2 linked regions of the Danio rerio genome follow. The protein of the gene in region 1 binds, or shares a complex with, the protein of each later gene. Links are inferred from orthologs where the notes say so. Each region holds a gene or a part of one and is shown on either strand. Other genes may lie near its edges. The genes, in order: unc80 and nalcn.

What was found.
Region 2: the proteins of unc80 (region 1) and nalcn are in contact, whole or in part, in a cryo-EM structure (PDB 7SX3), measured with the Homo sapiens proteins. The link is inferred for Danio rerio from reciprocal best matches to the Homo sapiens genes UNC80 and NALCN. Residues at the interface, in NP_115893.1 of Homo sapiens: Lys1979, Asn2004, Glu2005, Cys2006, Asp2007, Leu2128, Arg2129, Leu2130, Pro2131, Pro2134, Arg2135, Ile2138, Asp2139, Phe2142, Phe2145, Ser2146, Glu2179, Asp2184, Glu2185, Met2187, Leu2188, Asn2191, Asn2194, Ile2198, Leu2199, Glu2202, Ser2226, Leu2227, Ser2228, Gln2231; in NP_001337678.1 of Homo sapiens: Asn639, Met643, Val644, Ile646, Lys648, Leu649, Pro650, Phe653, Val655, Pro656, Lys657, Ile658, Arg659, Glu660, Phe662, Met663, Lys664, Gln665, Phe666, Ile667, Arg669, Val711, Ser713, Arg715, Ala716, Arg717, Leu719, Lys722, Glu723, Ala725.

Annotation. Positions count from the first base shown.
Region 1 is NC_133181.1:17,599,131-17,602,959, reverse strand, and holds part of unc80 (protein unc-80 homolog), read left to right. Parts: coding exon 1-27; intron 28-490; coding exon 491-663; intron 664-3,458; coding exon 3,459-3,671; intron 3,672-3,783; coding exon 3,784-3,829. UniProt on the Homo sapiens protein: Auxiliary subunit of the NALCN sodium channel complex, a voltage-gated ion channel responsible for the resting Na(+) permeability that controls neuronal excitability.
Region 2 is NC_133184.1:33,300,827-33,304,655, reverse strand, and holds part of nalcn (sodium leak channel NALCN), read left to right. Parts: intron 1-1,312; coding exon 1,313-1,435; intron 1,436-1,621; coding exon 1,622-1,678; intron 1,679-2,733; coding exon 2,734-2,854; intron 2,855-3,829. UniProt on the Homo sapiens protein: Voltage-gated ion channel responsible for the resting Na(+) permeability that controls neuronal excitability. NALCN channel functions as a multi-protein complex, which consists at least of NALCN, NALF1, UNC79 and UNC80.

The sequences.
Region 1 (3,829 bases):
AGCTCCACCACACAGAGGAGAAAGATGGTAGAACCCTGGGGTGCCTTTCCCCCACCCCTGTCCACAATTCGCTCTGTTGTTCGTGTGTGTGCCCGTACTTGACCTGTCTTGTGCTTCTGGTACACTCCTCTACCATCTTCCATGCCAGCTCTCTGTGTGTGTGTTTGTCCATTTTTGTCAGAACCATCCGCTGGAAGAGGAAAACTGTGGTTCTCTGACCTATGACCCTGGCACCATGACCCGCCACAGCTTTGTCAGAGTTCTCGTAAACCTTCAGCTCTCCAAGTTAATAGTTACTTGAGGAAATTTTGCAAGTCATAATTTGTAGATCTTGTAGTGTTGTTGTGATTTCAGAGTAGTGACACAAACAAATTTAAACACTTGCATGCTCATTCGATATCACCGGATGCATATTTCACCGGCTTTTTCAGATGTTCATGCTGAAAGTCGCTACATTCATTTCAATGATGCCATTCTGTACCCCAACAAGGTTGCCATGGATTCCAGGAGCGCTTGGCTGCCAGTCAGGAGGCCATGAAGAATAAGAACATTGTGAATCTGGGTGCGATCAGACAAGGCATGAAGAGGTTTCAGTTCCTGTTGAACTGCTGTGAGCCGGGAACCATTCCAGATGCTTCTATTTTGGCTGCAGCACTAGACCTGGTCAGTTCTGTTTCTTCGGTTTTGTGTACAGATAGCTGTAGAATTACATTTAAAGCATATTTATAAGGGGATAGACTTGAAAGCCATTAAAGGTCTAGTTCACCCAAATTCGGTCATCATTTACTCACTCTTGTCTTGACTTGTTCCAAACCAGTTAGAGTTTTTGTATGTTCTATTGAACACAAAGGAACATTTGTTGGAGAATGTTGGAAACCAGTAACCATTGACCTCCATTGTACACTACCTGACAAAAGTCTTGTCGTCGATCCCAGTTGTAAGAGCAACACATAATAACTCCTAGTTGATCATTTTGAAAAGCGGCAGAATGTAGATTTTTCTGATGTATCATCTGTTGAACTACATCTTAATCATCACAAATACAGCAGAAGACCTATTGGAACCTGCATAGACCCAAGGTTCTCACAGAAATCAGTCAAGGTTGGGTTACTTTCAGTATGGGGGAGTGCTGAGAGAGATCTGCAGAGTGGATAACAACATTGCTGCCCATTACATTACAAACCACAGGAGAGGGCAAATTTCTCAGGATATAGCTCCTTCTCATACTTCAGCCTCCACATCAAATTTCCTGAAAGCAAAGAAGGTCAAGGTGCTTCAGGATTGGCCAGTCCGGTGACCAGACATGAACATTATTGAGCATGTCGGGGGTAAGATGAAGCAGGAGGTATTAAGATGAATCCAAAGAATCTTGATGAACTTTGGGAGTCCTGCAAGAACACTTTCTTTGCCATCCAGATGACTTTATTAATAAGTTATTTGAGTTATTGCAGAGATGTGTAAATGCAGTCCTTCAAGCTCATGGGAGTCAAACACAATATGACCAAGGTCTAAGCAAAGTCAGACCTTACTGTCCTTATTAAATCATTAAAAATCAAGGCATGATCATATTTTTTTGGTTAACTAAGTTTAATCTAGAGGCCTTTGCCTTTCATGTAAGGCACTTCTGATACCAAATGATCAACTAGAAGTCAAGTTATTTTGTGTTGCTCCTAAAACTTGTATAGGCAACAAGACTTTTGTCAGGTGGTGTATTTGCTATTGCTACTATTAAGGTCAATGGTTGCTGATTTCCAACATTTTCTTCAATATATCTTTCCTTGGGTTCAACAGAAAAAAAAAACTGTTTTGGAACAAGCCAAGAGTTTTTTCTTTTATTGAAGACAAAGTTTTAAAAAAGGATTCACAATTTTACATATTTTGTCCCAATATTACATACATACAATGCAATAAAATCACAAATAAAGAAAGAAAAAAAAGAAAAACACTCACATCACAAACCATTCCTTACGAGACCTTTTTAAGAATATCTGTTGAGGCTGTATTGTATTTTTTTTAAATATTATGTGATGCATTAGTCCATATAGTTCTTATCAAGATAAACAGATAAAAGGTTGCCAGATTTGGTCAAATTGCTCAAGTTTTTACTTTAAAAAGTACCTAATTTGCTCCAAATGTAAAGTAGAAATTATTTCTACAACCCATAGTTTACATGTTGGAGCCTCTGTTTCTTCTAAAACAATTCTGAGAATTCTTAATTGTAGTTTGTGTTGTGTACTTGATAACAAATACATTTGTCCCAGAATTAAAAATATCAGATCAGGCAGTAATTACACCCTAAAAATCTCAGAAAGTTCTTAAAAATTCCATTCCAATAGCTCTGTATCTTAAAACAGAAAAAAAACCTATGACATATTAGCATCAACTGTATTACATTTGTCACAAAGCAAATTTATTATCAAGCTGTATGTAGCTGTTTGTGCAAAATTTTGTAAATCAACCTTAACAGCAAAATTGTATTTTTTTAAGTATTAATTCTGAACTGATAAAATGAGCTTTCCTGAATTCCAATGTAGATCCAAGCAGAAGCTTCAAAATTCATCTTTTAATCTTGTATCCGAACTTTGTTTGCTTATGGTTGGAATTACAAATTTTAAGTTGCTCTTATTATACTACTTTGAGTTAAGGCTGCTCTTTGTCTGCACAAAAATCAGTGTAAACACAAAGCCACATACTGGAATAAATTCCTCTCTGACCCAATTCAGCCCTCTTGTATTAAATACATTTGTGCCACCTCTGAGCACCTCTATGAGAAAAAAAAAAACATTGTTATTTATGATTCTGTGCCAACAGTTTGGTCTAATTTAAGCCTTAGGACCCCAAAAAAATGGAAACTGTAAGCTTTCTAATGATGAAAGATAAAAATAAAATATTTATAATGATAGTTATGTTTCTATATTACATTATCTATTCAATAGTGGCTGTCATAGAACCATAAAAAATGGAGATTAAAGATTCTAAGCTTTTGTTTGACAAAAATCCATTAAGGTTTTTATTTAACATTCTCTTTTAAACTAATAATTAGCAAAGGCTTTTTTTTAAATGCTTTTCCCCAGCTTAACACCAAAAGAATAAAATAAAATCCCTGGGTAATAATTCTAATTCTAATAATAATAATAATGATAATAATAATAATAATAATGATGATGATGATGATTTCCCAGAGATGGGTTGCAGCTGGAAGGGCATCCGCTGCGTAAAACATGTGCTGGATAAATTGGTGGTTAATTCCGCTGTGGCAACCCCAGATTAGTAAAGGGACTAAGCCAAAAAGAAAATGAATGAATGAATGGATGAATTACAATGATAATTATTATTATTAGTATTCTAAAAAAAATGTTCTTTGTGTGTAACATTCTATAAATGCTCTGTCAAAATTAAAAATTATTTTTAGATGAGCTAAAAAATGTCTTGATAATGTTTATAAATGTCTTCCCCAGGAAGCTCCAGTGGTGGCGAGAGCCTCACTCTTTGTGGAGTGTGCTCGTTTTGTGCATCGCTGTAATCGAGGGAACTGGCCAGAGTGGATGAAAGGTCACCATGTGAACATCACTAAGAGAGGTTTGTCCAGAGGACGGTCGCCTGTAGCAGGAAACAAAAGGAACACAAAGCTGCAGTGGAATGCTGCCAAGCACTTTTACCAGTGGGGAGACGTGAGTCAGATATGCAAATGTTGTCTTTTCTGCAGAAAACAAATCTTACATGCTTTTGCAGAATTGCATCTGTGGTATTTTGTCTGCATCTAATATATGTGTGCTCAAAAAGGCCATAGGCACTCGGCTGAGTGAAATTTGCCATTCAGACAGTGAGA
Region 2 (3,829 bases), on another chromosome or scaffold:
ATCACCTAATGTGATTTCGCAGGTAAGAATTCAACAAGCTTGATCTTTCGAATGCAGTGAAATGCGAAACACGTGCTTGCGTTTCTGGTCTTCCGCATTCGCATGGCTATAAATGGAAGTCTTTGGAGCAAAAAGTGCAGTGTGATCACGGCTTTATAATAGAATTAGTTTTACCTACTAATACTAGTTTCACAAACTATTAAGATTATCTTTTCTTTTCTTGGCCGAAAACATGCTCTCACATTATTAGTGCTGTATAAACATCATCTATTTTACATAGATATAAAATAAATTGAAATTATTGTGTTTTATAATATGCTGTATCAAGTTTAAACATTTCTTATGATATACAACGTATATCTAGACATTACATGAAACATTAGGTCATGAAAAGTGACTTGAAAGTCCTGGAAAAATCATGAAATTTTTGTAGTAAAAATGTCTAAGAACCCTGTAAATATCCAAAAGTGGACTACGTTCACACTGCATGCATATGTGGCCCAATCATCATTCTGTGCTGCAAATGTCCTCTGCTCCTCAGCAGCATAAAAATAATAATTTAATGCAAAACTGGCACTTGTTAACCATTCATTAACAAAATAGCTATATTTTACTTATAATATAATTAATAATTAATAAATAATTAATTAATTAATAATTAATTAATAATTAATACATTAACAGAACCAAATATGAAAGACTGATATGAATATGAAAATAAACCTACAGTACTCCGCCTTCAAAGTTCAGTCTGCGGCTGCTGCTCATTAACCCTTGATAAGTTTACCACATCGGTGGACAGAAGGACGCACACCACACTTGTCATAAATTACAAATGATCAGTGTTTTCAATCAAAAAAGATTTATAGATTGGGTTTCCGAAATACACATTAGTAGTAGCAGAACAAGTACAGTTCATAAAATATACAATGGTTATGTTGTAAAAGGGTAATAAATATATTAAGCCTAATCTGACAATGTGCTTACTTCATTGTGTGCATAATTAGACATTTTGGGTATACTTTTGGGCATACAGGTCAGTTTAGGACCATGGTCTGTTCACACTGCAAATTGGATACTGGCCACATTTATAACAACAATGTGAACAGCTAAACAAAAAATAAATAAATAAATAAAATAAAACAGATCTGAGAAAAAACATCAGATTTGAGCACTAAGCCTTGCAGTGTGAATGTAGCCTAATAATAAAAGCAGTATTGGGGAGCAGAGTTTGCAGTAGATGAGGTTTCTGATTTTATTCTGAATTCTTATTTGTTGTTTTGTTGCTTTTGTTTGGTTTGTTAATTCTCAGAAAAGTCCAAGAGGAGGAACTTCGGGAAAACCATCCATACTTTGACAAGCCACTCTTCATCGTTGGTAGAGAGCATCGATTCAGAAACTTTTGCCGAATGATTGTTAGAGCCCGTTTTAATGCGTAAGACTAAAACTATTTCACATCCATTGCATTATATAGAGACAGTAGTATTTTCATGCACATCATGGCGATGACTAATCCCTTTGCACCATAGCCACTGTTATTTGTTTCACAAACTGTTCTCTGTGTGTGTGTTTGTTTTCCATACGTTTGCTGATACTGTGTTAATGGGCTTTTTATGAATAGGTCAAATACGGATCCCAATACAGGCGCAGTGAACAGCACAAAATACCATCAATTATAGTAAGTCCCAAAATGTTTAGGGCTTATGCGTTATGATAATCTGTTATTATATACAGAGTTTTTATTTATTTATTATTATTATGTTTTGTGTTTTTGTTTTGTTGTGAAATTCATAAATTGTATAGAGTAATTGCAGCATACACCTGCATATTCCTTTTAATATAACAGTGCATTCAAAATATAACTTTTTTAAAGTTGCAGTATGTAAATTGTAGTCAAAAGAATAACAAAAAGCATTTATTAATGCTCATAACTACATAAAAAGTGAAAATCGTCTATTAAATTGAATTGTTCCGTATAAAAGTCAACAAGTGTACTCTGTCTGACTTTCACTTAATTTTTCTGACACACTTGACAGTAAGCTCTGTGTTTATGCTTCATGCTCAAATGTTAGCTTGCTGAAATGCTCAGTAATGCAGTTTTCTTCAGAAGTTCTCAATTGGTGAGAACAAAACTGGCTGAAATGTTACATACAGACATGTCAATGTAGAATGACAGGTCTAATGTGGTGATTATGATTAATAACTTAGCAAGTAAGTTACAGTTTTATATTTCAGTCCGAGATGGCAACATACTGTATTTGAAAAAGTTAGATGGTGCAGATTAAATTAAATGTAACAAATTAATTTAAAATGTATTGTTTAAATGTTAATAAATAGTGTTAAATCATCTGGATCTATTATATTAATGAAAATTGCCTTGAACATAATGCTAAAATATATAGTATATCTTAGTTTCATATTTTGGGGGGTCAAAATGTGATTTGGCTCTATGAATGTTACCCTTAGTTATGTCTATTTTGATTCTAGAAATGCAGTTTGAGAAAAGGGCTTTAAAAAAGTTTCAATCTGGATGACATTCCAGTGTGGGATTAGAAGAAACTTTTGGGCTACATTGTCCTAAAAGGATTTCACCAGTTTCAAAGATCTGAAAAATTAAGTTACATAAGCTCAGACTGAAGAGCAGGAGGAATGCAGAGTAGGAAAATCCTATTTTGACACATTCAGCCTGCACTAAACCTTGCATGTGTGTCTGTGTCTGTGTGTGTTCTCCAGTGATTTGCTGGGCTTGGTAACCTATCTGGACTGGGTGATGATCGTGGTCACTATCTGCTCTTGTATTTCCATGATGTTTGAGTCTCCTTTTACTAGAGTCATGCATGTCCCAACCCTGCAGGTATTCTAAACCTTACTGCTCACCATTCTTTGTCACACACACCTCTAACTAACTATATTAGACTGTAAATGTTCCTCATCTCTCTCCTGAAGGCCGGTCATCTTGTCTTGTTTTTGTTGCAGCCCAGTACCTTTGATTGTAAATCCAATTAATTTAGCTCTTTAGAGCACATTGATTATGATCTCAACTGCAGTGTGTAAATGAAAGGTTTAGGGTTCCTCTGTTTCGAAGATTTTGTACTGTTATTTATGAGACAGAAAGATTGACCTGTCCCTCTTGACAGTTTTCTGTCTCTCTCTTTCTACATTATTTAATTTAAACTCCACTTCAGACAGTCTGAAACGATCTGATCTATACGTGATATGGGTATTTTAAAGATCAATTCCTGTTCTAAGCATAGAAAAAAAATTGTCTTGCCCTAAATGTATTCTGACACATCCAGTCTTAAAGCCTTCTATAAATTGCTAGAAGAAAAGAAAATGCTTTGCCAAAGCCGTCAATTTTTCAGTTATGTTTTCTGTGATTAAATAATTGTGGCATTACTGGCTAAAAATTTTATGTTGATCTTGTTTATATTCCATAATATCATTCTTGCTTTAATAATAATTTATGGTAATAATTTTTTTTTTTCTACAAAACAAAGATTCAGTTGGAATTAAATTAATCTTTAACCGAAATAAATGAAAAAAAAAAAATATATATATATATATATATATATATATATATATATATATATGTGTGTGTGTGTGTGTGTGTGTGTGTGTGTGTGTGTGTGTGTGTGTGTGTGTGTGCGTCTGTGCGTCTGTGCGTGTGTGTGTAATCGATTTGAAATGAAACAAACAAGATATGCTTTAACTGCAAACTGTCAACTTTAATTTAATAGCTTTGGTATTTACATCCAAATCAGGTGAATGCTGTAGGAATTACAACAGTTTGCATATGTGCCTCCCATTTGTTAAAGGTTCAAAAGTAACT